2 linked regions of the Tribolium castaneum genome follow. The protein of the gene in region 2 interacts with the protein of the main gene of each other region in a pairwise test. Links are inferred from orthologs where the notes say so. Each region holds a gene or a part of one and is shown on either strand. Other genes may lie near its edges. The genes, in order: CycY and Eip63E.

Evidence for each region.
Region 1: the proteins of Eip63E (region 2) and CycY interact in a two-hybrid assay, tested with the Drosophila melanogaster proteins (2 studies listed by BioGRID). The link is inferred for Tribolium castaneum from reciprocal best matches to the Drosophila melanogaster genes Eip63E and CycY.

The regions. Positions count from the first base shown.
Region 1 is NC_087398.1:15,841,162-15,857,715, forward strand, and holds the start of CycY (cyclin-Y-like protein 1), read right to left. Parts: upstream 8,365-16,554; 5' UTR 7,880-8,364; coding exon 7,252-7,879; intron 1-7,251. Other genes in the region: polycomb protein Asx, read left to right, coding at 14,973-16,554.
Region 2 is NC_087394.1:24,270,592-24,287,427, forward strand, and holds the start of Eip63E (cyclin-dependent kinase 14), read right to left. Parts: upstream 7,371-16,836; 5' UTR 7,217-7,370; exon of another isoform or gene 7,163-7,216; 5' UTR 7,120-7,162; coding exon 7,050-7,119; intron 1-7,049. Other genes in the region: Papst2 (adenosine 3'-phospho 5'-phosphosulfate transporter 2), read left to right, coding at 7,546-7,826, 7,872-8,098, 8,168-8,394, 8,450-8,631, 8,681-8,855; tyrosine-protein kinase Src64B, read right to left, coding at 11,224-12,146, 14,955-15,208, 15,268-15,574.

The sequences.
Region 1 (16,554 bases), on a different chromosome or scaffold from region 2:
TTTAACGATTTTGGGTGTTTTTTTATTTTTGTCGTTATTTACTTAGAGAAAAATCAGCCGGGAGATATAGTGAATTAGGCCGTGGAACAGTACACATGTGTCTAATACTAAATTAAATAAACTTTGGTCTGAGCGTCTTGATTTTTTATTTCAATAATCTGAAAAACGTTTCTAACACTTATTAATTATTTGGAGTTAGTAACACTGAAAGAAAGTAGATACACGACTTTTTAATACTTGTGAGTGAGTGGTAATTTCCACCAAAAAACCTGTTAGAAATTATATAAGAGAACGACAATTATTGCAAAATACCTATAGGTAGGTTTTTCAATTACTTGTACAGACAATTTAAACGAAAATAGTCCTCCAGATTAAAACAACAATATTTGTTATCAAAGCGAATACTATTACTTAATTCAACTCAAGTGTAGGGGACTTGAATGCGGTTACTTAATTTGCACGTGTATGTATTGTTAAATAAATAAGTAACGCAATCGACCAGAAATATTTTTTTTTCTTGAAACCTTATATGTCTTCTCATAAAAAAACTACGTGGTTTCGTCGTGCGTATAATAATTAATAAAAACTACCATGCGTTTAAATTAAATGCAGTTTGGAAAAAATTCTGATTACATTTTATTGAATGCAATAAATTTTGTAAATAATTAACTAGGCCATGACATTGGAGAGTTTGAGTTGTAATGACCTAAATGGCCCCAATCCAAACAAACAAATATATTATGCTCATCCTGCTAAGTACATTTTACAAAATAAATTCAATATAAATATTAATATACCCTAATTTCTTTTGACTGTAGAATTTTCAAATTCACAATTATACAGGGTGCTTCAAAACTGGCGCACCAGCTTAGTGGTACGTTGTTGAGAAGTATGTGTACATTACGGTAAAAATCTTGAAAAAACTGAAAAAAAGTCGTATTTTAAAATTCTGGAGTTACAAACTTATTTTGTTAACTTTTTCAGTTTTCACTATTTTTTTAATGTTTTTATATTTCACACTAAATGATCGTTCACTAACAAAACGATGAATAATTATTTATTAATTTTGTTTGGTACTGCTCCGTGGTCTATTTTTTGAGATATGTATAAAAGTATGAGCACATCATTTTGACAGTTCTCGGGGAACGCCTTAAATGAGTCTTGATTGGCTAGGGCAGTACATTCACAGCAAAAATTTTTGGGTTAGGTTACTGTGGATACAATACAATGTACCATGCAGGGTGTATCAGAAATACGTGTGTTAATTTTACCACGTAATAAAATGCATCAAATACAATAACTTTTCTATATAATGTTTTGCAAAATTCTTATTTACAAAGCACACTGTTTTCCTTCTTTCTTATATGCAAACTAAAGTTCCTAAATAGGGAGAGGTGGGAGACTGAATGTAAATTTTCAAAATTATGTTTCATATACGTCCGCTGGAATATGAATAAAAACAAATTGGGATAGAATTCAGTGATGTTACACTTTAAATTTAGCGAAAAGTCAAATAAATTTGTCCAAAAATGTTTAGAAATGGTTTAGACTGGCAGTCGTCGTTCATTTTTAATTTGTAAGTACAAGAATTTTAGTCTAAACTCTTCATCATAAACTTAACTTTAAGAAATGGTAATCATCGATGAAAGAGAAAGAAATTGAACCTTTCCTGCCAAGTTTTACGTTTATTATTAGCAAGTATTTGGAAAAGCGGATTGTCTAAATAATGTTATGTACAAAATCTATGCATTTACAAAATACGTAGATACTTGAATTCACGATTTTGTTACGCTTTTCACTCAAGAAGACCTTTAATATCTTTTTTTTTTGGGAAATTTAAAAAGACGACGAGAAATATGATGAGTTTTTAATGACCAATTTTAGGACGAGACGTTTAACTAAAAATTGTAACCGGAAGAAAGGCATTTTTAGCATTGAAGTATGTTTTTAAGTTATGTATTTAATATTAAAATAAAGATCGACAAATTTCAGAAATGTGAACATTAATATTAAATTTGTAGCTATTCAATTCTTTTCTTTTTCTAAATAGTTATTCCAAAATTCCTACGTTTTCTACGTCCTTGGTTAAATTTGACGTAAACTTATGTCATTTTATTTATTTGACAAAAATTATAACCTTGAAATTATTTCGACATGAAGTTGCTAACAAAAATTTTAGTAAATTAAAATAAAAAAAATGTTTTTTTAGAAAAAAGCTTATATTTAAAAGATGCACTAAAAAGTAAAAAATTACATTCGGTTCACCTTCATAAAAACCATTGTGGTGGAAATTGGGTAATCTTAGCATTAACTTTTATATGAGTTATCATGGTAACAGGTTAGTTAATTCCACCACAATGATTTTTATGAAAGTGAATCAAAAGTATGTTTTTCTATCAGATGAGAATAGTTTTGCTTACAAATTAGGATTTTAAAATTTATAAAAGCTCGGTTATTAATAAGGGACAGCTGGTCGAAAACTTCGATAAGCCCGAATACAGTAAATAATAAATAATAAAAGTAAAAAACTAAAGCACCGTTTTACCACAGTTCCCGAGGTCTAAATTATATTTAAAAACGTTAAAGATTTTTTTTTGGTACACGCTCCCTAAAATGGTTACTTTAGAAACAGCTTTGTCTTTAGAGGCTTTTGTACCAGTCATGATATGTGGCCCTTTCGAGTAATGTACATACATAACTTCAAAAGCCAGTGCAAGTAAGTAAATTGAAATCTCATTATCCTTCGGCCAATTTTCAAATTCCACGTATTTGACACAAAAGCCCGTATTTGTTAAGGGATTGCCTTAGACGTCTTAGACATTTTCAGAATACATTTGTACGAATAAACTAATGACGGTCCAAATTATTAATTTCATTTCACTGTCTACGCGCAAATGTTGTCAAAATGTAGCAAAATTCTACTATGAAATGAAATGAGATATACAATGGTGGACAATATAGTCGCGTACACCGTATTTTTGCTGGATCTAGTAGGTATTAGCATGACATTTTCATCAGTGTCAAATACTAAAATTGACAATACTTACTGAACACGACAAAGTTCTTACATTGTCGAAACTGGAGGAGAGTCACATCATAAGAGTAAAGAAGTGATGGGAACAAAAAAAGTTGGTTCGGAACGACCATGACTGTCAAATCCTGGATAAGGTGAAACATTTGTTAAATAATAATTAAGGAATTTTAGATCTGAGAACAAAAACGAACTTTGGGATGTTATTCAAAACGGTTGAAGGAAATTAACAAAAATTATAGACCTTAATGCATCCATTTCTAACAGATCACACTAAGTATCAGTTGTAAATGGAGCCATAAAAAAATTTTAATTTTGCAATCGATGCTGTACTAATTTTTGTAAATAAAGTGTCATTCTTACCTTACTGTTAAATTAGAGTGACAATTTCTAATTGCAACCGATAACCTCTATTCTAAAAATACCTTCAAACTTCAAAAAAGACATAATTACACATTAAGTTAGAAAAAATGTGTTGCTTGATTTTTCGTAGTATACGCGATTAATTTGTCCACCATTGTACAAAAGAAAAACAAGGAATGACAAATTTTACACGTTCTGAAAAAAAAACAGGTTTTTTGGTTCAATTTTCATATTGTGTTTAGAACTTTAATTTTAGTTTTTAGGGAATATTATTGCTTTTGTAAGTTTTTTAGTGTCATACAATGACCTTTTGACTTAAGGTTTTAACTTAAACCAAATTTTTGATACCTCTATCATTTAAAGAAAAAGGAAAAAATCAAAAACTAGTAGTTTATTATACAAGTAAAAAAAAGTTGTTCATTATCTGAGAGTGAGGGGTTTCTGAAACAATCAAGAGCAGATTATGCCAACTTTTTTTTACGTGTATAAACAACGTTTTCTCTTATCCAGGGTGATTCAGATAAGATTAAGAGCCTGACGATTTGGCGATGCAACCCAAAAAACAATTTCATTTACGTCTTGATCTAATTTTAATTACGATTTGCATTTGCAATCCAAGTAATCTTATGTTACTGACAGTCCTTGATAAGCTTTGACATCGGTGCTAGTCATTATTGTCACATTGTACCCTGCATTGCTGTTGCTGCAATGAATTTGTTTGCTCAACGTTTCCCAAATAAACAAAATTCTAGTGGCATGAATTTTAAAAGTCCTGAGAGGGAACTTAGAAGAAATTGGCCTCTTTGCAAAAGAAGAAAACTCACTGCTAGGACTTTGGAAAATTCTGAACCCAAAAAAAAAAAATAGTACGCCAGAGTAAAATGAAGAAACAAACCATAGCTAAATTAACACAGTAACCACTTGTAGAATAAAAATGTACTACCTGTATTCGTATTTATGGAATAAGCAACATTATTAATACCTTTAAAAATATTTTTTTACGTGAATTGACACAGCAATCCATAGTTCTCAATTTTTCCTACTAGATGGCGCTTTAGTTCAAATTTCCAATTTTTTTTGAAAAATTACTTTGTTTTTCCCATGTACTCTTCAAATAAGTTTTTGGTGCAAGAATCATTTCCATGCAGAGAAAAAAACTATTTGTTTAATAGCAAACGTTGAATTCGAATGTGATTAGTTTTTGAGATTCAGTAAAAAAACCTGATGTGTCAGTTTGGTATTCACATCCTTGTAACTTTTTTATAAAAAAAAAAATAACAAACAGTAATAACAACATGTAATATTACCATTGTATTAAGTACTACTTGTAGTTAATATTTTTCTAAACGTATAATAGTATATTAAAAAACAAGTTTTATAAGGGTTTGATTTGGCGTACGAATCCCAAGTTAGATAACGAGCCATAGGCGAGTTTTCTATGGGATGGCATTTACATACACATCAGAAAATTAATGATTTTTCTGAATAATAATAAATGAAATATTTGGCTTTTTTTTAAACAAATTGTTATTTATCAGAGTAAACTTCAAAGATTCCATGAAAATCAAAAACAAAGACTGATGTTTGTAACCTGATCCTGTGCGACGATTTTACAATTACAAAAAATAAAAATAAGATAATATTTTTAATAACTAATGCAACTCCTATTGGTTATTACAGCTCGACATCGCCGTGGCATAGTTGTTTATCTTTTCTTAAAAGATTTCTTTCTACACTGCCCTTAAGGCAGCGAATAAATCCTGATGATTTTTCTGCGGAACAATTATCCATAGAATTTGGAGTGTATGCTAGACGACTTCAAAGAGTCAGAAGATTGTTTTGGCCACAGCAAAACAGAAATTTCGATACCTTTGTAAATATTCCTTAACCACTTGAAGTGTGCAGTTAGCAATATCTTGCATAAAAATCAAACTATTATCATAATTTTTGGTATAATGCAAGACAAGAGGTTAAGATTCTTGCGGTTAAAAATGGTTTAGTCAAAACGCATAGCCAGACTTTCACTGGCTCAGCAAATTGTTCCTTGAAATTTGCAACAGTGAGCTAATGTTTTGTTTCCTGATTAATAACTATTTGGAATCTACCCGGGTTCAACAAGAATGCGTATTTGAAGAGAATCTGGCAGAGAAAATCTTTTCCAACAGGTCCAGGAATGTATCCTTACTTAAGTGAAACAATCATGTCGTAGGGTAGAACTCAAACCGGACGAAGAACCGATTTCGTATTAATTAAACCAAGTTCAAAAATTTAAAAATTTAATTAATTAATTTAATTTAAATTATTTTTTTATTTTTGTTTTTCTTTAATTGTAAGAATGACAAAGTCATTTTCATGGAATATTTGAAAGAAATAACAATTCATTTCAAAAAAATTACAAAAATTAAATTCATTACATTATTATTTAGAAAAATTGCTAATATCCCTAAACTTTTCAGATGTGTGTAGTTTTGAAACAGTTAATATAGTTAGTTAAAAAAAAAACTTAGTTACCTATAAAAACAATTTCACTTCATTTTAAAGTATCAAAAAATATCATGCCTTGTCAATCAGTTTAAATCTGTGATTATAAAAAATGGCTAGATTATTTGAATGAAAAAAGTTGACAAGAGTGTTAATTGTTTTCGTTGTCATCTAGCTTTTTTATCTGAAATAATATACAGCGTGTCTCAAAATTGGCAAATTCCGAGTTCAGAATGTTGTAAAGAATCACTTTACTAGTCCAAATGTAGGTAGAAACAAAATAAAGATTCGGTGCTTCCCCACAAAGATACATTGGTTTGAATGTGTACTTCGGTGCATTTTGAATTGCGTTTTTTTTTCAAATGCAAGCAAAAAATTTCATTGTTTATTGTTATTTATAGTGTAGGTGATTGTAAAAAATAATAATGTAAAACAATTTCTCAAAAAATTTGCTTTATTTTGGAGTAAAACAATCTTAAATTTTCGTAATCTTTCTTAAAAATCAGACGAAAATCACCAAAATTTAAATTTTTTTACTCCAAAATAAGGCTAATTAAAAAAATGGTTTTCATTATTATTCTCCACAATCATCTACACCATAAATCACAAAACTTATAGCTTGCATTTGAAAAAAAAAACGAAATTCAAAGAGTAATCTTCAAACCAGTGTATCTTTGTGGAAAAGCCCCCAGTCTTATTTTTTTCTATATCTGGACTACTGAAGTGATTCTCTACAATGCTCTGTAGTCGGAATTCGCCAATTTTGGGACACCTGTATACTTTTTAATTTTATTTGTTTGCTTACTATTATTTTGTCATATTGTGACACATTTCTAAAATTACAAGTAAATTATCTATCAAAGAGAGCAAAAAATTATACAGGGTACCATTTGAAAAAAACTCGACAGATATAGACAAATATGATCATAAGGTAAACTCGTGATTTAATTGAAAAGATTTTGTCATTTCAATCAAGAATATATTTCGGTTTTGGTTTGTAATAATACATTTTTACTAGACCGGGTGACTATTAATGATTGTGATATTTGTGGCCAAGTTGGTAACAAATTTGAAAACTAAATTTCGCAACCTTGACTATTAAATTTATTTCTCAAAATTTTATATTCAATTGTCATTCATTTTCGACCTACGATCGCTGACATGGCCGTCAGATAAAACAACTCCATACAACAAGCTAGCAGGGAGGCCAATAACTCAATGTTGCCAATAGATTTTTTAGCCTCAATCTTTAAAAGTCACCCAGTACAAAAAAGTATGGAAAAACCAAACCAAAATATCCGGTATACTTTTAGCAAACTCACCTTGTACATTAACTATTAATCAAAATATTAATTATTTTCGTAGTTTATACGTACCTAAGACTATTCTTTTCCAATTGGAAGGTTGTATATCCAACTCTGCATATGTCAACAGCCGTTCTAAATACACTAGAGTAATAATGGCACACTCAGCAGTCAGTTGAGCAGCATTGAACAAAGTCCTCACAAACTTGTAAATTTGTCGGTGTTCGGGATTATGCTTGTCGTAATCGTCACTAACCCCATCCCTGGTCAGTGGATGCAGCTTCTCATCAAAGATATCAATCTCTCTTTGCGAATCCCTGTTTTTGATGTGGTAGTAAATCGCCAATGCCACACACTTGACCGTGTTCTTCAAATTGGGCTGCGACACTGTGCTGTCGTCCAAATAAATCGTCGAACACGAGCTGCTCTTCTTCAGGGGGCGCAAATCGGCGATCTGGTGCTGGCTCTTCCTGCGGATCATGCCATTCTCGATGGCCGTCTTGGAGCGTTCAATGAAGATGGTTTTCGCCGTAGGGTCTTGCGAGGGGTCGGCGTCGCCGTCGTCTGCCTCCCGCTCGCTGATATGCTGCAGGTTACTGACACTGACCTCGCCCTCATTTAGCGTATCTTCAATGGGGATGATGACGCGGTGGCTGGTCTGCGGGCTGGAGTACGAGCAGCAGCTGTTCTTGTTGCCCATGGTGGCCCCCTTAGCGTGCCATCGCTATCTGCGGCAGCTCATCTTATCACCGATTGTGTCCACGCAGATAAGCCGATTTTAGATCAACACCCACGAGTGAACGCCTTGTTTCAGCCGGCAATTGCGAATGCAGCCGGTGAGGAGTTTGTGGATTTCGACGGTGCGCACAACTTGTTTACTATTACATGGTTTTATGTGGATTGTTGTTTCAAACGGCGAATTAAACACATTTTTCGGACAAGGAACCGAACTGTCAAACTTTGAAGGATGCTTTGGACGGTTGCAACTTGCAACATGCAACGTGCAAATTGTTATCAATATTATAAACAGAACAGTCCGTAGGATATTATAAATTATAAACGATTTGTTTATTACCACCTTCAGTAGTATCCACTTATAATTTTAACAAAAAATTATTTTACTGGAATAAAAAATTAGACGAGTGGTTGCGCTACCAACCTTGCAACCATGTATGTCCCGATGCCTCACCAGCTCACTATTAATTTTAACAAAATAAGTGAATTTGTTTACTAGCGGCTAGCCCTTGCCGGTCTACAAATGTTCGCTCAGTCGAAATTTTGCGAGCGAGGTCGGAACAGTACGAACGGAGACCATAACGGACTTCTCATTTCAGCTGGGCATATTGGAATAGTGGTTTTTATGGAAATATGTTGCGCGTGGCTGGGGCTTCGCCCCAGTTAACTAAAAGGAAACAAACCCCACGACCAATTAAACTCGAAAACGTGGAACTCGAAACGTGGAATAGTGTTTTTTTATGGAGCTAGGGTGGCGTACAGTTCATAAACATAAACACTATTCCACGTTTCGAGTTCCACGTTTTCGAGTTTAATTGGTCGTGGGGTTTGTTTCCTTTTAGTTAACTAAACGCGCAACATATTTCCATAAAAACCACTATTCCAATATGCCCATCAATGCCGATTGTTAATGTAATTATTTTTAAAATACTCAGAAAACTCTTTAGACTTAACCAGCCCAGCTGAAATGAGAAGTCCGTTATGGTCTCCGTTCGTACTGTTCCGACCTCGCTCGCAACATTTCGACTGAGCGAACATTTGTAGACCGGCAAGGGCTAGCCGCTAGTAATTTGTTTTCCGTTTATTTGTGAATAAAGAAATCTTGCATTAATGAGATATTTCACTCAACACTTTCTTTTACTAGTAAAGAACTGTAGGGTAGGCAACTAAAATGCTCGCAATCCTTAGTTCAGTAGACTGTGGTAAAGGTCTCTAAAAGCGGACATATAGTCTTTTTTTTATAATCTACTGTTAAAGAGCCCCCAGGTTGGCATTACCATAAATAGTAATTTTTTTGAATCAAGGTTAGTGTAATTTTTTATCTGGCAAATTCAATTTCCAAATTTTTCAAGTGTCTCCAATTTAAAACACATTCAACAACACATTTAGTTATTTTAGACCATCTTTAAACTAACGAATTATCGATTAACACTAACGTCAAATTTTGAAAAATGTCAAATCTGGTGTTCAAAATGTCAAATACAGAATACAGCTACATTCTTGGCACTAACTTTTATATAAATTGTCATGGTAACAGCTTAGTCAGTTCCACCACAATGGTTTTTATGAAAATGAACAGAAGGTAGTTTCAAAAGTGGTTGGTCATGAACTTGGTCTTTATCAAAATTTTAACATTGACAGTTGATTATATAAAAAATGAACTATAAGAAAACTAGTACAGTGGCGGACGCGGAATTTTGGACACTCCAGTCACTTCGTTGTCAAAAAGTATGACGTTTATGTCAACGAAATGTCATAGGTGTCCAAAATTCCGTGTCGGCCACTGCAATATTGAGGACAAAAAAAATTGATGTAAATAAAAGAACGTATCAACGTATCTCGTTTTCAAAATAAAAGATGACATGATTGTGTAAAACGACCTTTACGTTTCACAAATTAGTTTAATTTTGAATTAAGTCTTAATTTCGCTTTCTGTAAACCGACCCTTAACATTTAATGAGTGCAAATGAAGGAGCAGCTGAGTGCGCTCACCTATTTTTTGAAAAACGCACCATTCATAGTTTTATGATAATCTTTGGAGTCAACTTTTTTATACCTATAGCTAATAGATTTCATTATGCAACATAAAGTTGTTTTACTATGTGGAAAATCAAAACATTTCTTAGCAAATTTTTACAATCTGTCTAAAAATGAATGTAGGATCGTAGTAGGTATTAAAAGGTTGCCGCTTCTTTAAAGAAAAAACAAACAATGTTAGTATATGAAAAATTTGGTTTTACTGATTACTGAGTAAATAAAAATTGGTACTTTTCAGAAATTTCTTAAAAATTCAATAATTAATTGCGGTAAATTTAAATTCCAGAACCACCTAAAATTCTACACTCTTTTATAAACAGTCCGTATATTACATCAAGGGTAAATATTTATTAGACTTGATTTTTGCACATATAAAACTATTTAGTTTTTCCTTAACCATAATCAGAAAATTAAGGGACACTTCCTTCATTTAGGTTTTGAAGGTATACAGGATGTATCAGAAATACGTGTGTTAATTTACTACGTAAAAAAACTTATCAAGTACAACAACTTTTCTATATAATATTTTCCAAATTCTTATTTAATATGTTTAATTCTTATTCTTATTTAATATAATATATTTTCCTCCTCTCTTTTATGCAAACCAGCCGGTCAGTGTTGTATTCATAACAACAATTTTTATTGTTGTTTTAAATTGTTCAAATTATACGTTTCTATCACAACAAAAACAGTTCGATACCTACTACTATTTTTGTACCCATTGGCGGGCACACATTTCTGTATGTTATTTGTTCCAATTTTTAAGTAAATTTGCGAAACTTTTATTGAAAAATTACAAATAGAAAAAATGTTTTATTTGTTAAGCTCTGTTACCTGTTAAAATTAACACACGTATTTCTGATACACCCGCTGAGAAAAAATAAATTTCTTACCTATCATGTTCAGCTAGTGCGAGAACTTGGGAAAACTGAATTTGAACGCAGATTAGAGTTTTGTCTCTTTATCAGAACATAAATACAAGTTGGCAACAACTTACTTCAGAAAATGTTATTGTGAGGAAGCCCGATTTTCTAACATTAATGATATTGCACAACAGTCATTACTATGCTCAAAAAGATACACTGGGGATAAGTGAAACACATTTCCAATTAATTGTTTTGGTGAACGTTTAGTGTGGTATCTCGCATCTTTGTGAATCGTATAATCGGGCCAAGAAAAACTAGCAGAAGGCCAGCATTTTGAACACATTTTTCGCTAAAAGTTAATTTTTTGTTTCCCTGTTTACTGTTGCAATTTATGATTTTGGAAAAACTGAATACCTACCTTTAATGCTTCATTCTTTCATATATTTTGTATTGTAGTTTATACACTGAAAAGAGTTCTCTACTTTCTCTATCATTCCACGAAAACTGAATGGCAATAACGGTGGTGTTAGACATATCATCGCAATAACGATCGTTCTCTGCGTTAACGTCAGAGTGACATAAGTTGATAACTTTGATTCAACTTGCAAATCCTAATTTAAATTGGGTGAAAGGCGTAAATGAAATGTGTTTTTTGGGTTGCATCGCCAGATTGTCAGGCTCCTTATTTTATCTGAATCGCCCTGTATCTACACATTTATACCGTAAAGCACTCAGTGCGTCATGACTAGAAGACCACCTTGTAGGTACCAATTTTTTCAATTTAAAATCTTTTGTATTTTTCTCTGGATATAAATAATGCCAGCGTATGATGCTATGACCAAAAAAACGTATACTTTTTCAACAAAGTCAAAAAAAAATCGAATTTGTTCTACTTCTTTTACCGAATCGTTTAAAATTAAGTTTAAATTATGTGCATCGCAGTGAATGTATGGCGTATAACCAATTTTTTCCGAAATGTTTGTTTGAACCCCATTGTATACACCGCTAATATTGACGGCTCCGCCATATGTTTGGGTTCGCAATTTATTTAACGGAAGATTTAAATTATTAATGGTAGAAATTATTTTATCACTTAATGTAGCAGCACTTTGATTTTCTACTGGTACAAATCCTAAAAAGGATTGATTCACTTTTATACCTTTCAAAATATTATGAGAATAAACGAGTTCTACGTAACAAATAATTAAACTCATTTGATCTACTTTTGAAATATCCTGGGTGATGTTAATTATAATTGAATAAAATGGACTTGCATTAATTCTTTCAAGTATGTTTTCTTTAACTGCATTTGATAATAATTGTATTACTTCGTTCTGAATTTGGCGACTAAAGTATGTAACTGATTTTTTCGTTTTAGTTTCTAGAAGATGTTTTAACACAGGATCATATTTAGATAATAATTTTATAGTCGCCAAAAACATCCCTGGATTTGTAGACTCAATTTTTTCATGTCCTCGAATCGGCATATTACATGAAGCCAATAAAAGAGCAACGCTAATAACACGCTTTAAAACCTTCCTCCAAGATGAGATCTCTTGGCAAATTACTTCTTCATTAATACAGGGTGTATCAGAAATACGTGTGTTAATTTTAACACGTAATAAAACTCATCAAATACCACAACTTTTCTATATAACATTTTGCAAAATTTTTATTTATAATTTTCACTGTTTTCCTTCTTTCTTTTATGCAAACGAGCGGGTCAGTGTTTAATAGTTTGTATTCATAGCAACAATTTTCATTGTTATTCTAAATTGTTTAAATTGTCTGTTTCTGTCACAACGAAAATAGTTCGGCTCTCTTATTTTTGTACCTACCCATAGGCGAGTACACGTTTCAGTATGTTATCTTTTTTCAAATTTTAAGTAAATTTGCGAATTTTTTATTGAAAAATAGAAAAGATGCTTTATTTGTTGAGTTCTGCTACCTGTTAAAATTAAGACACGTATTTCTGATACACCCTGTATAATCGATAGTTTTATTTAAACGCCATTTGTCATACCGAGTGCTCAAAAACCGGCGCACCAACTCATTGGAGTGTGGTAGAGAATTGCTTACATATAAAGGTAAAAATAGTAAAAAAATTCTTTGTATTAAAATTATTCATAAATAACGAATTTTAATGAAATGATATGTGGCAACGTTGTCTAACAGTCATGATCGCCATAAAACTTGATCAACAATAAAAATAAATTATTTTTGAAACGGTTTCCTAGGTAATAATTCCCATTGTTGACACATCTACAAATTGTGATTTTTTTAACGAATTTTATTTTTTTTAATTAAAAAATCTGCTAAAGTCTGATAGGAAATTTAAAAATAATTATTCATTGTTGTGTTAGGGAACGATTACTTAGTGTGAAACATAAAAACATAAAAAAAGAATGAAAACTGAAGAAGTTTACAAAATAAGTTTGTAGCTCCATATTTTTTAAAATATGACATTAGGAATTTTTTCACGATTTTTTCCGTGATCTACACATGCTTCTCAACAGCGTACCAACAGCGTAGTTGGTACGCCAGTTTTTGAGCTCCTTGTATATTGCACAACATTGACTATGCTCTAACTTTTCTTCATGTTTTTTAATTGTTCGATTTAAATGTATCCAGTCATCAAACCCTAAACTGAGTTTAATTTGTTGTTTAGAAAATAGCCAACATGGTTGACAATAACATTTGTTAAGGATTTTAGAGTAACATAACCAGGTTCGAGTACTTTTAAATCCCATTGCTGAAGTTTTTGTGTAATAATACAATTTTTTGGGAATAGACCAGGGGGTCTGCAAGGTCGCCATTAGATAAAATATTAAAATATAATATAAATATAAATATAATATAAAATATAAATTAGATAAACATAAAACGTTTTTCAGAATTAGTCAACACTGCCTGAAAATGACCCCTATCGGTAACATTGACAATAGTAATGTCATCTTTTTCAGGACCTAGTAAAATTCGAATCAAAATTTAAATACCAAATTTAAAGATAACTTACAAAGATCCAAATTTGAAGAATTCGTGCTTGATTCAGTGTCCAAGTCAGCGACTATTAAAGCTATTTTTAAATTAAAAATTATTAGCCTCAGTTTTAATAAATAAATCGGAAAATAAATTACGGAGGTCATATTCAATAACTGATTAATGGATTAAATACACAAAAATTGAACACTGTTCGGTGTCAAGCTGATTTTAATCTGAGCTCTGCATAACGACTGAAGAAATGAAGGTTGAAAATACGTAAAAGAAGTAATAAAGTCGTGTTTCACATTTATTTTTATTTTTTATACTTTTCTTAAAAGTGTCCCAAGGAGAAAAATAATTCTAAACCCAAACGAGCTAGTGTTTAGAAAACAAGAGCCAGCCATTTCTTGTAACCAACTTGTAGTTATTGTGAGTAGCAGTTTTGTTTTGTATTTAAAATAAACATCGTAGATCGCTTCAGTGTTTTCCATGAATTTTAAATACATAGTAGGCCAATTTTGTTTTTAACAATAAAACTTTTTTATTTTATTTTTACAATAAAGTTAATAAGTAAGAAATTTGACCGGGCCTTTCACAGTCCCGGGCCTGGTTCCTCGGAACCCGCGGAACCACCTTCACTACGCCACTGATAACGTCTATCGGTAGGAGTCGTTTATATTATTTACAAAAAAAAGAAAATGTGTACCTATTATAGGAGTGCATTCGTGTCTAGCTTGTTGTAATTTTTGCTGCTTCACCATTAATTAATAATTAAATACCAAACAGAAGCAAGCAAGTTAAATTCAATGTTAATTTGTTCGTTGTCTTTTTATTGATATTATCGAGAATTTAAATGTTGGCACCAGTCGTACGGTTGCAAGTTGCAACCAGTGTGGCCAACCTAGCAGTCCAAAAATCCTGTTTATATTAGGCCCGGTTATGAAATGGCGGATGGTGTTTTATTGTCAAAGACCGAGTGCTTTTAAACAAAAAGACTAAGACTGTTGTCGCCTCCTAGCATTTTGTAAATGAATGGCAACGAGTCCTGTTGTGACCCGAACGCGCACCAAAATATGGGGTGAATGCTCGCCTGAAAATTCGGTCGTATTTCACACACAAGTCGAAAAAATCGACTCAAGTAAACTTTAATGTCCTCAACTGTTCGGTTACGTGATGGAAATAGACGTTACACCCGAGGCGAGTGACGGTGCTTCGAGTCAAGGCGAGGAAGAAAATGCCGAAAAAGTGGTGTCAGAAAAAGCGGCCCCCGAGCCCACGAAGAAGGCCATCAAGCTCGCGCTGCGACAGCAGGCCAAACGCAGGAAAAAGAACACGACGATTGCATCGGGAAACAGTTCGACGGTTCCTCGTATAATAGTCAAACCGTTGCCTCCGCAGCCCCCCGAGGAGACGCCCCCAGCCAAAGCCCCTACGATGCGGGAAGTCCTAGCGTCGATTCCCGGCTTCACTATGAAACCCAGACGACGCACTAACAAGAAACTTTCAACTGCAGCGCAATTGGAACAAACCAAAGAGGGCTGCATCGATTTGGAGACTCCTGACTCGATCCTTGTCAACACAAACCTGCGATTACTACTCAACAAAGCGACTTTTGCCTCTCTACCACTTCTGTACCAAAACAAACTAGTGCAATTATTACCAGACGTTGATCGAAATAATAGTGTAACAAATTCGACGGATTCGCTCGAACTTAGCAATTCCGGACTCAATAACGAGTTTTTTGCACGGGCTTGTGTCGAATGGCAAGATCGGCTCGCCGAAGGCGAATTCACACCAGAAAACCAACAAAAATTGAAATTGGAAGCTGACAAAGAACGTAGTAAATTAGATCCCTGGAAATTGAAACATTTCGAACCGATTTGGGGCGACAGGAGTCAAACTGAGCCGCCTCAAAACTTCAACACACCCCTGGCATCAAGACCGCCAATCAAAACCACGATCAAATTACGACCCACAACAACAGTCACCAATAAAGCAAAAGCAGCGCCACCTATCAAACGACTACGAACCGTCGGAGCGATGACTAGATCGTGCACAAGTTTGAAAGAATCCGAAATATCGAATCAAGAACCGATCAAGACACCAATCCCCGATTTGTTACCGATCAAATCGATCCGAAACCAAACGCCTAAAGACACCAGCGAAACCCAAGCCGAAAAACAAGAAAACTGTATAATCAACATTAGTAAAACGATTCTTCAAACCGACGAAGAGACAATCATTTGTAGTAACAATAACAAGCGTCGGAGATCGCTTAGTCACGAATCCATCGATTCAAAGCGCCAATCGCTTGACGATAAAGTTACAGAACCCTGTAATACCGACCCTGATTCCGTCGACAGCTCGATCGTGCTGTCTGAAAGCGACACCAAAGACGAGGAGGAGCCTTCGACCGATGAAAAGGTCGAAGACGAGGAGCCAAAAACTGAGCCTAAGATCGACGAAGAGGAGGAGGAGGAAAACCCCGCACCAAACTTAATCGAGGACTCGTTTCCGATTCTTCCCAATTCGTTGATTTTGCAGCAGGAGTCGATCGTGTTGGAGAAGACGCTGTGCGACGCCGGGATGTGTCTGGAGGACTCGGCGGAGAAGCTCGAGGCGAGTGTGGAGGAGTCCGATTTAGTGATGGCGCAGTTGACCGAAAGCAATTTCGAAAGCGTGAGGAATATCGCTGATGATGATGCGAATGAGGATAGGTTTATCGATGCGGAGAATTATGTGCTAGAGTCGGGAC
Region 2 (16,836 bases):
TAACTCTTTTAAGTCAACTGTTTCAGAACTATACTGTCGTAAAAATAATCGCACATTTCCTACAATACCATTACAAGCTGTCTTGGTCATACGTCAAACATGTTAAAGAAATTAAAAAAAACTTCTGTCTCAAGCTAAACTCTAACAATCACTGCTCATACGAAAAACACAATTTCCAATAATCAAAAAAAAATTTTGGTCTTTTGTCGCATATCAAATTCCAAAGACATTAATGATTTGTCTGGTTTGATGCCGGTTTTGCATAAGTTGAGATAAGTGAGGATGAAATCCTGCAGATTTTGAAGCTTCTAAAGATTCCAACAAAAATTGAAAACGACAGGCCAATCTAAATCTTATGCGATTTCTCGATTGTTTTGGAATCACTATTTTACGACTTATAATGTGTTGAAAAAAGATCGAATGACACAAATACGATCTATTTTACTTAATTTATATACGACTTTCTGTGACCAGATTCTTTAACTATGCCAAAATTCCCATACAAACTCCTATAAAATCAGAATCTGCTATTCTCAAAACCCATTGGAAAATACTTCCTACGGCAGCACTAGCCACTAGCCAATAAAAATGTAAAAAATTTCTATGAGAGTCCAGGCAATGGGCCCCAGATATACCATAAGAAACAAAATTGCTGAGGTATCGCTTCAAATTCTTGTAGCGGATGTGGAAAATTTAGAACCAATCAAAGCATCACTAAATTCATTTATTGTGCGACATGCCAAACACTAGGAAATGCCAACAAAAACATTTATCAGTGTGGTAACCACTAATGCATAAAATTTGAGGACAACTAGCACTTTTTGTTAAATTTTAAGACCATTAATTCTTTCAGGAAGAGTCAAATATTCTGTTCTTTCTGTTACATTTTGTAAAATTCACGAACACTCGTTATGTGACAAAAATCTAATACACAATCTATAGTTTACGACTAAATCTGGAAATGGCATTTCTCTTTAAAAATAAATTCTAGAACGCACTGCTGCAATTTCGGCTTCATCAAGAGCAATTAGTGCCACTAAGTTTCAAACGTAATCAAAATTCGCTACAACAGTCGGTGAACAAAATAAACAATCACATTCAATGTAGACTATTAAAACAACGTAAAAAAAAACAAACCATAAAATAAAATTGCAAAAAAGAAACAATACCTAATTCACAGATTCTAAAAACTTAGGAAGAAAAACTGCTTTGAAACTGGGAGTAAGTTGTAAAAATTTCCCACAAACATATTCCTATAAGAATTATTGAGAATAGCAACTATGTTTTCACAGCAAAAAGCGTTCCATTTTCCTACGGGAAATTTTTTCCATAAATCTAAGAACTGGGTCTCTCCCTGAACAAGTTTTCTTCAAGTTGATGTCTTTATTGACTTTAATAAAGGATTTGACCAAACTGATAATAATTGTCTATTGTTGTCGAAACTTGATCCTTTTCTTCAGTTTTTTTCAGTGTCTTGCAATTCTTAATAAAATCATATCTTGGGAATAGAAAGCCAAAAATTCAATGTCAGAATTACATTTTGGATAGTTATATTACAACGTCGTGTGTACCGCAAGGTTCCACTCTTGGACCATTACTATTCTTGCTTTTCATTAATAATATGTACAATACTTTGTCTACAAACTCTAAACCTCTCTTGATGATCTTAAGTCGACTTAGAAATGTTGTAATGAAAACCAACTTCACTTCATCTCGTCTACAATGTTGTGTAATGTCTTCCACCAAAAATCAAGAATCCATTGAATCTGCTTATGACATTTAATTGCTAGCATCCTCATACTTCAAATACAGAATATTTGAAAGTCATCTTCAATACTAAACTATTGTAAACCTTATTTTTCGCTTTAGCATCCACTCTATCATGTCCACTTGAAGAATCAATCTGAAAATGTACACTGAAAAGTCCTGAAATTCCAAACGTTTCTAATTGATATCCAATTAGATGCTTTGATCAAATGCAATTTTTGCAAAAATCTCCAATCTTTGCAAACTCGTCTTAAGTCCATTAAATGCGAGTTGCATACACTATTTTTTCTATGATCCGACCAGTCAAAGCAATCCAATAATTGCTATCCTCTTACATTCCCATTGGTCACAAATTGTCCCATGGTTACCATAACCCATTTTGATTGGTCATAAGCTTGTATCTTCACGAATGTCATTTAAAAAACAGATCACAAACGAACATTTAACGAACCAATTAAAGTACAGAAATAAAAAAAAATATATGATATTAACTTTGAATCTTTAAATTTTTGTTCCATAATTCCTTGTCTTTAGTCGATTTAACTTGCATTTGTAGTGAATAATGTAAATTTGATTGTAAGTAAGTAAAGTATTTACTATTACATATTACGTATAATATTAGAAAAAAATTAAAATTCAGTAGAGGAAACAGCCGTTGAAAAACAATGATTTATCCAGCAATTACCAAATAATTTGTATTTTTAATTAATGATTATTGTGTATTGCTTCCTCCTGATGGGTATTTTCCACGTTGGGCCGATTGGTCGGTTATTATGTTATTTGAGAGAATGCAGAACACGCAGGAAGAGTGTGGGTACGGTGGCGATGGCGAGGGCCGCTCGAAGGCCGCAGCTTCGCCCACTGACCATAAACAGCAGCAGCAGCAGTACGAAGAGAACGGGTTGTTGACCGTCGTTTCAGCTTTCAGAAAACCGCAATTGCAACGAAAGAATCGCTTTTGACCTAAGTCAAAGCGGGAGCGGCGCCAAAACGCCTCCACAATTGCGTAATGTAATGAAAATACCGAGGAATTGTCGTCGTTGCTATTTCAAGGAGATACATTATTGATTCTCCGGTGAGGGATCCCCGAGGGACCGACTTTAAAACTACACTACACGATCTAATATCATTTCGTTTCGGCGATAAATATTTGGTTGGGGAGAAGAGGAAAATAGATGAACGCGGTTTACTCAAGGACGATGCAAAAAGATTGATTTTTATCAGGGACAAGGTCGTGGCGAATGATTGGAGTAATAACAAACAAACTATAAAAACAGATGGATGAGATAACGGCCCAAATTCTCCTTTTTCTCGCAACGAGAACTGGGAGGAAATTCGTTGTTTATTCCTTCGAGTTTGAAAACTATAAACTTATCCGCAACATCGCCATCTACTTAATGTTATCTGCAGTTGGAGGGAATAATGTCCACAGATTATAGAGAGAAGTTGCTTGCATTGTAATTCACACTGAAATGGGACAATTATGTTGGGTTTACCGTTGTGACGAGCGGTTTAACGTGTTAGAAAATTGCATCCAGGCAGATATTTTCTAGTTTACTAGACACATTTTTGCGGCGCTTTCGGTAATAGAGACTTTCGAACTAAATAAAGTGCTCAAAATGTAAGAAAGCATTGTACCAAAAAGAGAATGCAATACAATGTGCCACTACATTTATTATGTTTCTCACATTTTAAACATTTTTGCTATTCTTCAACCTTAACAGAAAAATATTAATGCGGCCATTTCTATTCGGAGCAAAAACCTCCACGCCACGTTTATCGTTTATGTCCATGACCATGTTCCATTATATTTTAATGGTCTACTTGGAGATCCTAATCGCAAATTATTAATCAATACGACGACTTTTATTTCATGTAAACAAAAAATATGTATCGAGATAAAGTAACGTGAAATTCCAGTGCTCCACTATTCGGGTGAAATCAATTTACTCAAATAAACAAACCTTCAATGGAATTTATTGTGCAAAGTATCGTAAATCGATAGACTTGTTTAGTGTGTGGTAAAATATGAAGACACTTTTCTCTCTTCAGTTTACTTCAAAGTGAATTTATTTTAAATCAATATTTATTATTTAAAATCCTTGAATTGATGTGAAACACATTTTACTTTATGATTTTTTAAGCGTTGCGTATAGGCAAGACAGGGAAAAAAGTTAATATCGACGCTTTTTACGTGAAGATTTTTATGTAATATCTTGGAATTTTAGGTCGTAACGTTTCAACGACATTTCATAAAAATTCTGAAATGTATGAAAATTATTACTTTAAGTGAAACGTGACGACTTGGAAAAGGCAAAAGTGACATCAAGAAGCTCCCTGCTCTCAAAAGAACAAAAAATATGTAACACAAAATTTGTTTAACAATTAAATTCACGCGTGGTAAATTTCGTAAAAAGGTTGACAATTCCGCTTCTGATTTAAACATTTTGAAAATATCTCAGCAGAAAAACGTAGATTACTCGTAATTTCAGATCAAAACATAAAAACAGAAAGATTCGATAACGCTATTTTTTTTCGAGAACAATTGTGAAACTAGAAGAGATAAAAAACTATAAAAACTTGCACGCACAATACAAAGTTGCACGCCGCAAAGTTGCGGCGTTCAATGCATTATTCTTAAAAGTTTTAACTTAATCGTCTTAGTAAAACGTTTTTATTAACAGAGAAATTTTTTATAGTTTTCTAAAATTTTGAGTCCAGTCCTGATTACTTTCCAGTTAGAGATAAGCATTTCAAAATAATCTACCTCATTTCTATGGATACCAGATTTGCAATAATGTTACTTTTAATTTTTTTAAATATTTTTGATAGCACTGCCCTTAGAATATCAACAAATCTGTAAGCTCGTAACTACTGTAACCACAACTGTGACAATGACAATTTTTTTACTACTGCCAATGGCCCTTTAATTTTTTGGCAATTCTCAAATTTAAACAGAGCCGCCTTCAAAGATTTCAAAAAATGAAGTAATTGTACCTTCGTTATCATCAACATTTTACTAAGATGTTTTAGATTAAAACTCTTAAGAACAATGGATGTTATCATCTGTTGAATGGAACGCCTTAACTTCTCGAACACCTGTATAAGCAATGCATCTTTTCCCAATATTCTCTAAACTTTAGCAAAAAAGTGTTAAAATACTGTACTATTATTTTAAAATCTATGAAAAGTACTATTTTTTTCTCAATCAGAAGAGAGCTTAAACTTAGAGCTTAAGATTTTACGAGTAGAAATCTTAAGCTATAATCAAAAATGTTTTATTTTTTAGTAATTTTTTGGGGAGTTGTTTTCAAATATTTTTATTTTTTAGGTTTTATTCAAGGGCTCTAGTTCCTAAGTGTGCAATATCCAAGTTTAATAACTTTTAACAAACCGAGACCTATCGAACCTATCGTCTTTTAGAAAGCTTTTTTCACCTAGAAAAATTTTATACCAACCAAAAAAAAAATTTTTCTTCGAAGACTCATCAAATGTTGACATTTTCATTAAAATCTCATTACGCAAAGTGACTCTTTTATGTCGCTTACCCGCAAAAAACTTTTATGTTCTAGGTCGCCAAAGTATTTTATTAAAATATAATCAAAAATGTTTTATTTTTTAGTAATTTTTTGACGAGTTATTATCAAGTATTTTTACTTTTTAGGTTTTTGTTAAGTGCTCTAGTTCCTAAATGTGCAATCTCCAAGTTTAATAATTTTCGTCTTTTAGAAAGCTTTTTTCACCTAGAAAAATTTTATACTCACCTAAAAAGAAAAAAAATTTTTTTCAAAGACTGTCACCAAATGTTGACATTTTCGTTAAATTCTCATTACGCAAATTAACTTTTTTATGTCGTTTACACCCAAAAAACTTGTATGTTCTAGAACGCCAAAGTATTTTATTAAAAGAAAAGTCAATAATTTTTTTTAAACATACCTTCTCATACTAGTGCAGTTCTCGAAAAAACATTGTTTGGAACTTGAATGCAAATGTATGTAGGATTTCGCATTCTTGAAAGGTACTATAAAAATAAGTAGGTACGTATTTTGCAAAAATTATTTGCTTTATTTAGAGATTATACTGTTTGAAATAATATTGTGAATAGTGTTTATCGTGTAAAAGTTTTAAATGATTTCCTATGTAAAATATAATACAATACTTAATTTGGAAAGGGAAAGTGATTGATGGATTGATTCTCATTTATGCAACAAATAAGCAGATTAAGGTCGAGGATATACAAATTAGCTATTCATTATTGAACTTATACAACATTTTTCCTACAGTGCAGCAAATTCTGAATAGTGTACTTGCCACTAATACATCTTAAATGATTTTCATTTGCAAACAGATTTTTTTCCTTTTAGCGATTGCCGATTATACACAAAAAATGTACAATTGGCAGTCGGCAGGTGCACATATTAAGCTATACCGATTTATTGACCCCTTCACAAAAATAATAGTCTTAACAATTAAATATTCCATTCTGAGGCAATTTGGTTTATTTCAAACGATTTGCATCAATTAATGCAAGCCTATTGTTCATTCGTTCCATTTTTTGTTTACCTTATTCCATGTTTTGCAATAACGGTTTCAACACCCTAATAAAAACACGACCTCACTTCGAGTGAGGGTTTGCTGAAAAATTCTCCACCTCCGCAATATCGTTGGTCAAGTTCATTCTAAATTTTTATTTGCCATAAATTCCGGAGACCCGACCCAAAATCTGGACGACATCGTCGATAAATTGCCAAGTTGTATTGGCTCGAAGTTGGCGTACAAAAAGCACAAACCTAAACTAATTTACCTCAAACAATACCAAATTCATGTCATTTACATTAATTATAAAGCGCAAAGTTTGAATTGGATGCTGGGGCTTCGGAAACTCTGACAAATTTAATAAACAAGCTGTAAACGCAAATTGATTGCTTCCATGGACAATAGCAGCCCCACCATGCCCATGATGGGTCGTTCTGCTGCGTCAACGTGTAATTGTGAATTGTTGATTATTTACAACGGGACATCAGCAATTTATCAAGGTTTTTGCTCCTAGCTGCATTTTTCAAGCAATGAATTACCGACGAGACTGTCTATTTATACGAGAGTTAATTTCAATTAACGCTGGTCGTTGTCCCTCGCACCAACACATGTTGGGGTGCAGAAACCGGGCCAGGTAGCAAAAACTGGAGCTTGTCCACAAAACCGCGGCAAAAACGCAGCAAAGCGCCCGGAATTCGCCCGAGTGTCGGTTTTTTCCGGCGTGTAGAAAATCAAGGGGGCTTTACCATCTTTCATGCTCCTAGGCTGCGTGGCTGAGGCTCCGCTACTGTGGCTTTTGTCAACCGTACAATACATAATCACACACTTTAACACTACAACATAAGTCACTCTCACCGAACTAAAATTATCATAATTAGAAGTTTATTAATTAGTTTTACGCGAACTTATTTACACACGAAGAACACTGCCAAAACCCAGCGGCCATTACTGATTTCGCTTGCTCGGCCGCCTCCAGATGGCATCCGCGCCGCTGACCTTGGCGATTTTCGGGCGATTTGGCGCCGATTGCGCTTCGCCCCCTTGTCACAACACTGGGGATTTTGACTTTGGGCCACCGGACACCTCCTGATAAACCACGGGAATTTAATTTGTCAATTTATTTTCAAAATGATTGGGGGGACGATTGGCGAGCCTGGTGGGACGTCAAGTGTCAGATGATTTGAATATGTGTCAACGTGTCTCAAATCAAGCAAAAGTAATGATTTTTTCCCGTAATTGAAAATGTCACGCAGCGCTCAGCGTGGGGGGCTCAACCCCGAGCCAGACAGCCCCAAAATCAGTATCCTTTTCCTCGATATCACTCGTTTTTCCCAACCTGTCCAATTTTTCATTTGCAGTGGGGCTGTTTTCGTGTTTTTCATCCTTTACGGGTACATGCAAGAGCTGATCTTCACCATCGACGGCTTCCAGCCCTTCGGGTGGTACCTCACGTTGGTCCAGTTCGGGTTTTACAGCGTCTTTGGCCTGATTGAGACACGAATAAGGAACATAACCTCTCGATCGTAAGTGGTTCGATTTTAAGGCCCCAGAACACCGATTTGTTCCAGAATTCCGATCCAAACGTACTTTTTACTCGCACTGTTGACCCTTGGCACCATGGGTTTCTCTAATGCCTCGCTCGGTTACTTGAATTATCCGACTCAAGTGATTTTCAAGTGTTGCAAGTTAATTCCGGTCCTTGTCGGGAGTATTCTAATTCAGGGCAAACGGTACGGGCCTTTGGACTTTAGTGCAGCTGTTTTGATGTGTGTGGGACTAACATTATTCACTCTGGGTGTGTATGTTCACTAATCAAAGCCATGTGCCCCCTAATAAGTGACTCAAAAACTCGAACTAATTTCAGCCGATTCACATGTACAACCAAATTTTAACACTAAAGGCATCTTCATGATCTCGATGGCCTTGCTGTGCGACGCAATTATAGGAAATGTGCAGGAAAAGTCAATGAAAAATTATGGGGCTCCGAATTCCGAAGTCGTCCTGTTTTCGTATTCAATTGGGTTTGTGTACCTCCTTATTGTGATGGTGGCCACTGGCGACTTCACCGATGGCTTGCAATTTTTTTCTACTGTAGTTTATTAAATGATCATTTTTCCCAAAAGTTTGATTTCAATTATATTTTCAGAATCCAAAAAAACTGTACGGTTACGCTTTAATTTTTTCACTAACTGGGTATTTGGGGATTCAGATCGTTCTCACTCTAGTCAGGACTTGTGGGGCTTTTGCGGCAGTCACTGTGACAACGTGCCGCAAAGCCGTGACTATTATCATATCATTTGTTTTTTTCAGCAAACCTTTTACGTTTCAGTAAGTGTAAAAATAATTCTCCGAATTACAATTAATTCTTATGTTTTAGGTATTTATGGTCCGGTTTATTGGTAGTTTTAGGTATTTATTTAAATTTGTTTAGTAAAAGGCATCCAATGTCGATGCAAGACTTGGAGGTGTTTATAGAAAGGTGCATTCGAACAATCAAATTAAAACTTTATAACAAACGTCAAGGTCCTCGCCACTATATGGCGAACGTTTGATTTTAGTGATTTAAGCAATACTTTGCCATATTTTATATTTTGTTTTATCGTAATAGATGTGTTCATTTTTTATTGCTTTAAGACCGGACCCGTCCTTTTCACTCCCGGAAGATGGCGCTCAAATCAAAATACACAACGCTCAAAGACGAACACCAACGCAAAACTTAATTATTTAAATTAACATAATATATGTGGATTTTTCAGATTTTTTATTCCACAAAATATGTTCAAATTTTGAGGTTTGTAGAATAAAAGATCGTATTTTTCACTTTTTAATTCAATTGAAATGAATTCACTGCATAAGAAAAAAATGGGGACCTGTCCAACGAGTTGTTCAAATGAAAAAAAGAAAAACAAATTGAATTTCTAAGATAAATAATGAGCCCAACAATTAATTGAACAGGAAGTTTAAATATATTTTTGTAACTGAGTTTCCTTTAAGAAAAACATCTTATGAAAAAAATACAATAAACATAGATAGGTCCATCTAGTACCATGTCCAAAAAAACCCAAAAAATTATGTCCTGTTTTCTAATAATAATAAAAATCCACAATAAATTATTTTAAACGCAACTGTTTTTTAAATTCATACTGTTATTATAAATTCAATTATTTATTTATTTATTTATTATTAATATTATTATAATGACAAAAGGTTTGGTGTGTCGGGTTTTTAAACTTTGTTTTATTTATTGATAAAACAGTAAACAAAAATGTCGGCTGGCGTTTTAAAAAAGTAAAAATGACGTCACAACAACTCAAAAACAAATGACATCACGTCACTAGCATTAAAAAAAATAAAACCGAGCTGTTGGAGGATTTTTTTGAAAAATGAGTAATTACAAGATATGAACTTTGTGCGTCACTTTTAATTCAGTCTGTATATTTTAATAAGGCCATTAGAATGTTACGATTTTTTTTCATGTAATTTTAATGTCAACTTTTTTATAAAAAATAAAACTACTGAATTTTTAACACGTTACTTTCAAAAATTATTTAAAATGAGGTAATTACTGACCTGTGAGATTTAATTGAAGGGCTTTCAAAAAATGTGTACAACTATAATTCCAATTAGGTACAAAAAAATCCCGAAAGTTCCGTTACAAAAAAATCCTCCAAAATACTCAACAGTAATTCCAAAATCCAAATTAACTTCTCTAATTTCAAAATAATTCCTGTAAATCCAAATTATGCTGATTTTCCCTTTTGACAATTATCGTATTTCACTATTTCTTAAAACTACCACGGAAATAAGAAATCGTTTTGAGAAATAGTGAAATACAGTTTATAAAAAAAGAAAAACACTAATCCAGATAATTCCATTCCAAATGGTTCCAGAAAGAATTTTAATAATTCCAGGACAGCACCATAAATCCGAAAGGCAACAAACAATTTTGATGAAATCAGAAAAATCTGCACATCTTTTCCAGAGTTATCAGTCCCCCGAGTTTAACTTGAGGCAGCATCCAAAGAAACCATTTTGTGTTATCAATTTATCAATTCATTATCTTCCTTAATAATTCAATTTTTCATTTGAACAATTTCTTTTTAAACATTTGAGTTCCCGAATTTCCTTCTGTTAACAGGACACGGCAATATTCACAAAGGTTCATATACTGTTGTACTTTCCATTACTGCGTTGGTGCGCATCTTTTTGCGCGTTCTCTGTCGCTGAGTAGCACAATGTTTTATTCATACTGTATATGTACAAAATTTAATATGATTGTTCCTATATAAAAATCAATAACATATGGCTTTTCTTAAGAACAGATAAAAACTTGACTGGATCAAATCTGACTGTATAACCATCTCAAACATAAATAATTATACTAATACACTCACGATCACTATCATGACTATGTTTCCTCATAAAATAAAAATATACTTAAAACAAAAATAAAAGCAATACATTTAAGACGTGATTAACACTTATATAACTCTAAAAATAAGTTTCTCAATAATTTAGAATGAATTTTGTACATTGTTTATTGCACAAAACCAAAAATCAAAAAGCCAATACCACGTGTGGCCTCCGTCAAAAATAGAGAGCTCCGTGTCCACCACACGCGATATTACTCGAACTGAAGACAACCACACATACAATAATACACTGAAGAAGGAAGGGAAGCAAGTATTGGTCCACGTCCAATATTTTGAGTAAAAAGACGTACAAAAAGTCGTATAAAAGTTAAATTCTCGAATAGGTCACTTGAATTTTGCCTTTTTGTACTGCGTGATATCGTACGTGGCTTCGGACACTAACTCAAACCAGTCTTAGAAATTTTGAAGAATGTGCGGCAAGCAAACGGGCGAGTGGAAAACCAAACACAACTGAGATCTAGTGTTTATACGTATTGGTGGTACCCCACTAATCGGGCACCTCCCGATAGGGCACCTCTGACGTCACGTTGAACCCTTCAAAGTAGTGGGTCAGAAACTCAAAGGTGGGCCTGTTTTCGGGCTTCGCGTCCCAGCACTGCAGCATTATCGAGTAGATCTCGTCGGGGAGCACGTGCGAGGTGGGTTTGCCCATCCTGTAGCCCTTCTCGACCATGTCTATGACCTCGCGCCCGTGCATCCCCGGGTACGGGACCTGTCCGTAGGTGAAGAGCTCCATCAGGAAGATGCCGTAAGACCAGACGTCCGACTTTATGGAGAACTTCCCGTAGACGATGGCCTCGGGGGCCGTCCACTTGACGGGGAACCTCGAGCCCTGCTTGGGGCAATACTCATTGTCTTCAATCACCCTCGCAAGCCCGAAATCGCAGATTTTCGCAATGTTATTTTCGCCGATTAAAACATTACGCGCGGCTAAATCCCGATGGATCAATTGTTTGGACTCGAGATACTCCATCCCGCTGGCCACTTGGAACGCTATGTACACCAGGTCCTCGAACTCCAGCTCCTTGCCTTCGTCCTTTCGCAGGAAGTCGAGGAGGCTGCCCTTGGACATGTACTCCTGGACGATGTAGATGGGTTCGTGTTCGCTGCACACGCCGAAGAGGGTGACCAAGCGCTTGTGGCGGAACTTCTTCATGATGGCCGCTTCTTGTAAAAAGGCTTGTGTGGACATTGTGCCCTCGCGGAGCATTTTAACGGCGACTTCGATGTTGTTTTTCCATTTGCCGTACCACACTTCGCCGAAGTTGCCGCGGCCTAGGCGCTGGATGAGTTGGATTTCCTCGCGTGGGATTTCCCATTTGTCGCGGTAGGTGGGCCCCAGGTCCCACATCGTGGGCTGGGGCTTGGGGCACGGCTTCGACAAGACGTGGCAAAGGCCATAAGCGTTTTCTAAAAGGGTGGGAATTTTTCGTAACGTGTTTGTTCTAACTACAAGAAACGAAACGACGTACAAAAAAAAACGTCCCCGGAGTACCGAATTTTAAAAAATGTCTATTTCAATAACGGTTAGCACAAGGCAAAGAAAAAAAATACAGACTGATAGAGCATTACATTCTCAGTAGTAAGAGATAAAAAAGAAATTATGCCTTGACCACCAATTACCACAAAGTCGTAAATTATTGGAGCGTTTGGATCCTTAATATTAAAATATTAATTGCTCAAAAGTTCGCATAATTCTATTCTAGCAATTATTGCTATAAAAATTAAAGGAGTTATACACCAATAACTTAAAAACAAAAATTACCAAAATTGGTTTGAATGCCTCACAGGAATACCTTAAAAATTTTAAAGAATATCAAAGTATCAAATGGTAGCGTAATTAATTTCCTATCGTTTAGATTGTCAATTTATTTTTTGACTCGACCAGAGATATTTATTTTTGCCTCGGCCATAAAACTTGGAACATCTGTATTTAAAAAATTACGAACTTTTACCAATCTGAAGACTGTGCGGTAACAGATGCAAAAAAATATCAAAAAAGTTGTGGACAAATTTCCCACAAAAACGGCACCCTAGCCGTTCAAACGACGGATCCGTTTCATTTTACTGGTGGTGAAGAATGGAAAAATTAATTTAAACTTAACTTGGAGATAGAAAAATGGTGTCGCGAACTTTTTTTGTAGGAAATTTAATTCTCTATAACTTTGTTTCGTACTACTTTGTGTATCTTCAACCGCATCTCCTTCCTTCTCAATAATATAACGGGGAACGCAAATTGGTAAATGCTTATAATTTTTTATAATCGTACTCGTGCTATTTTAAAAAATTCAATTTACCTGTATCCGTAATCTTTTTTATAATTATTGAAATCGTCACATTTGTTCCAGGCTGTCCTGACTATACCTACTTCCAAAGAAATTAAAAAACTGTAACTACTTTTTTATTAATAGTAAAATTTGGAATCATTCTTTAACTTTAGTTTTTTTTCTGTTTTGTTTATGAAGTTCCCTTAAAATTTTACATAAAAAATACATTAAAATTGAAAGAGAAATCTAATTAGTACTCATTCAGTTGGTCTCTTACCAAGTACTACTAGTACTCCTTTTGTTGTAACTACATAGTTAAGACATTTTAAATTTTACCTACAAAATATATATTCAAGTTGAAAGAAAAACCTAATTCTCATTCAGTTGTCCTCTTAGGAAGTACCTACTCCTAGTACTCCTTTACTTGTTACTATATAGATATTTACAAAAAGCATCTGATAAATAGGTAAATAGAATGAAATTAAATGAATATTTCCGTTATCAGGGTTTGTTAAATCTTAAAGTAAAGCAGCCAAATTTTGTTCCAGTGAGCACAGTGAAATTAATGTATACCTACTTGCTGATTTAATCATAGGTGATTATTTAAGCATAAAAAAGACAATTTTAAAAAATTCCATTTACTCGCAAGCAGATGGATAAAGCTTTATTTCGAAATCTTGAACTTTGTAAAATAGGATCCTTACTACTAAGTATTAAGTTTAAGTAAATAAACATCTTATTTTCCAAGTTTGTTAAAGTCAGTAATATGTACTAAAAATATGATTATGAAATATTTCACAATACTTTAAAGCTGAATTTTGGAAGTAAAAAACATAACTGACACCCAGCTCTATTTTAGATGTACAGGGTAGTTATTTTTTGAATTGAATGATATAAAGAATGCATTGTATAGACATAAATAAAAAATATTTGGTCAAAAAAATAGCAAATATATAGCAAATAGCAAATGAAATAACAAAATTTGACTCTTTGGCCATAAAAAAATTAACGAATACTCCAAGGTTAAACTAAACATTACAAACTACTAAAAGAAGATGTAATGTAAACATTTATCCAAAAAATACGTTGTAAAAATTTTGAAAGAAAAACTAGTGGCTTTTTCCGTAACTTAAAAAAGACACAATTTGTATATTTATTTCACAAACTGATTTGATGATCATCTTGTACAAATTGCTTTGCAACATTTAGTACAAAATGTAGAACATTTTCTATACAACATGCCTGGGTAGTTTGTGAATCGTCTCCTGTTTAGAGGAGACTTATCATTTCTTGCCGGTCTGTCTTCAATGATCTCAGATCATTGTCACTTATCTTGAACATCATTATTTACTGATCAGTGATCAGTTTTATTACCACTATCATTACATAAATAATTGAAAACGTCTGCCAACTTAGCTAACTTAAAAAGCGGGACATTTTCACAAAACGAAATCAAAAAATACGCCAAAGTAACTGGTATTGCTAGGTCAAATTTGACTCAGAAGTTAAATACTGACGCAACCCAAATACTTACACTGTATCTGGAAGAATACATCGCGCCTAGAGAATACCTGGAGGGGGTTGAATTTATCAGGTCTAGACACCTACAGCGATTTGACAATTTGACTTAACTACGGAAAAACAAAACCAGTTGACAGTTAAACCGTATTCGCAGCGTTTTGAAAAATCTGAGACGAAGCGCAAATTTTAAATTTAAAACAACTTTTTTCCCACATTTCTCGTGAAAATTTTGGTCGTCACTTTTTCTCAGTCTATTAAGAATGCAAAGCACAACATTTCTGTATTTTTTCCAAGTAATTAGTGAATTGAATTGAATTTGAATTAATTTAAAACGATCTGGTACCGGGAGTAAAAATACTACTCTCCGTATTATATTTTTTGGGGTGCGATTTTGTACCTCGTTTCGTTCCCTACTCTAGTTTCAACTTACTGGTGTAAGCATTGACTAATTCGACTAAAGTGAGGAATGTTTTGTTGGTGGAAATGTAGAATCCGCCGTTATCAAGCGGCTTGATTTTGTAGTGTTTGACGTGGTATTCCCTGATCTCCTCCCAGTCTTTGACTGAGAGCGAATACCCGTTGGGATTATGCTCGGAAGGACGGACTAGGAAAGTTCCTCTTGGATTTTCCTCGGCGAGGAGAAGCTTCTCGGCTTCCTTTCGCGATACGTTTTCAAAAAACCAGCTAAAAGACAAAGGATGTGACAATTTCCCGTTGTGATAAGAGGAAAAACCGATACTAACTCTTCGCTTTCGACGCTCAATTCGGCCGCTACAAAATTTCCAGGGATGTAGCCCTGGACTTTGGTTATGAGATGTATCACATTTAGCCAATCGCCTTCGGAGTCATCGATGACTTCCATGCGATCGCCTTTCTTAAACGAGACATCGCTGCTGTCGCGGGCCTCGTAGTTGTAAAGGGCCACGACCACGCGGCCCTTTACGGAAAGAGGGGGCCGTGTGGGGGTCGGCCGACTCCTTATTATATCGACATGACTCCGCTGAGGGTCCGGTGTGTAGGGATTGTTGATTGTCAGTCGAGGTGGACCACCTGGAATTTTTTTTTCATTATTTTATGTAGGAGTTTTCGTGACTAGTAACATTTTGGGGCCGCCAAGGTCACCCGATCTGACACCGTTAGACAATAATGATTTACCCAACATGTTTGGAAAATACGAGGGAAAATATAATTTCCAACTTGAATAACTTGTTTGCAGCACGAGTGCAGTGAGTGCTCTTGGATGGACAGTTTTTGTGGCAATAAATTTACAAAGAAATTATAAATAATTATGGGTTGGTTTTTTTATATTATATTATTCGAAAATAAAATTAACTAGACGCCCTCTGGTGATGACTTTTGAACTATGTCGAAAACAGTAACGAAATTTTCGTAATTCCACATTTAATTGACGTCTAGTAAATTGTTTAACAATTTTGCGTGTATAGTGTTAATTGCTTACATTGGAGAGAATCACTTTAAAAGTACGTGGTGGTAAATACTAGCTTTGACTTTGGTTCTGCGGTTTTTCGTGGTGTAAAGTGTTTATTGTTGGAATTTGAAAATGAATAAAAAGTGAAAAAGATTTAAATTTTCATTACAAAGTGTTATCAAACAATTGTCTAATTAAAGACTATAGTAATGGATCACAGCGAACACAAAGTTGGGCTCAAGAAACCAATAAATTAGTGAATTTTAGGTTAGAATTTTTCCACTGATAAAATCATGAAATACTTCGATAAATCAACAAAACTACAATTAAGATTAACAACTGCTAATACACTTAAACGTAAATTATGCCAAAAGGTAGGCTTCTCAATGTCTTTGTAATAATTTTCCAATAAAGAAAGTAAACCAAAAAGTCATTCATTATTCGTGTTTTCCTCGACATCTCCAATTTGTCAACATTCGTTTCTTCCACCAAAGATACAATAATCATTCCGCATAGGCAATGTAATAATTGTGAAGCCTCAAAATTCGTACAACGCTCAAAATATCCGAATAAACATTTTCCCGCCATTTATGGTTACTGTTTTCGACCTAGCTCAGTGGCGCCCTCAACGGTAACTTTACTTCCGAATATTATATTATATATTATATAGGAAATATTGGGAGAGTTGGGACACTGAATGTCAATTTTCGAAATTTTGGTTCATATACGTCGGTTGGAATGTGTAAAAAACAAATTGGGATAGAAATGAGTGGTGTTACACTTGAAATTTGGCGAAAAGTCAAATAAATTTGTCAAAAAACGTTTCCATTTTTCGTCGACTAACTGCGTTTAGAAATGGTTTAGATTGGCAGTCGTCGTCAAT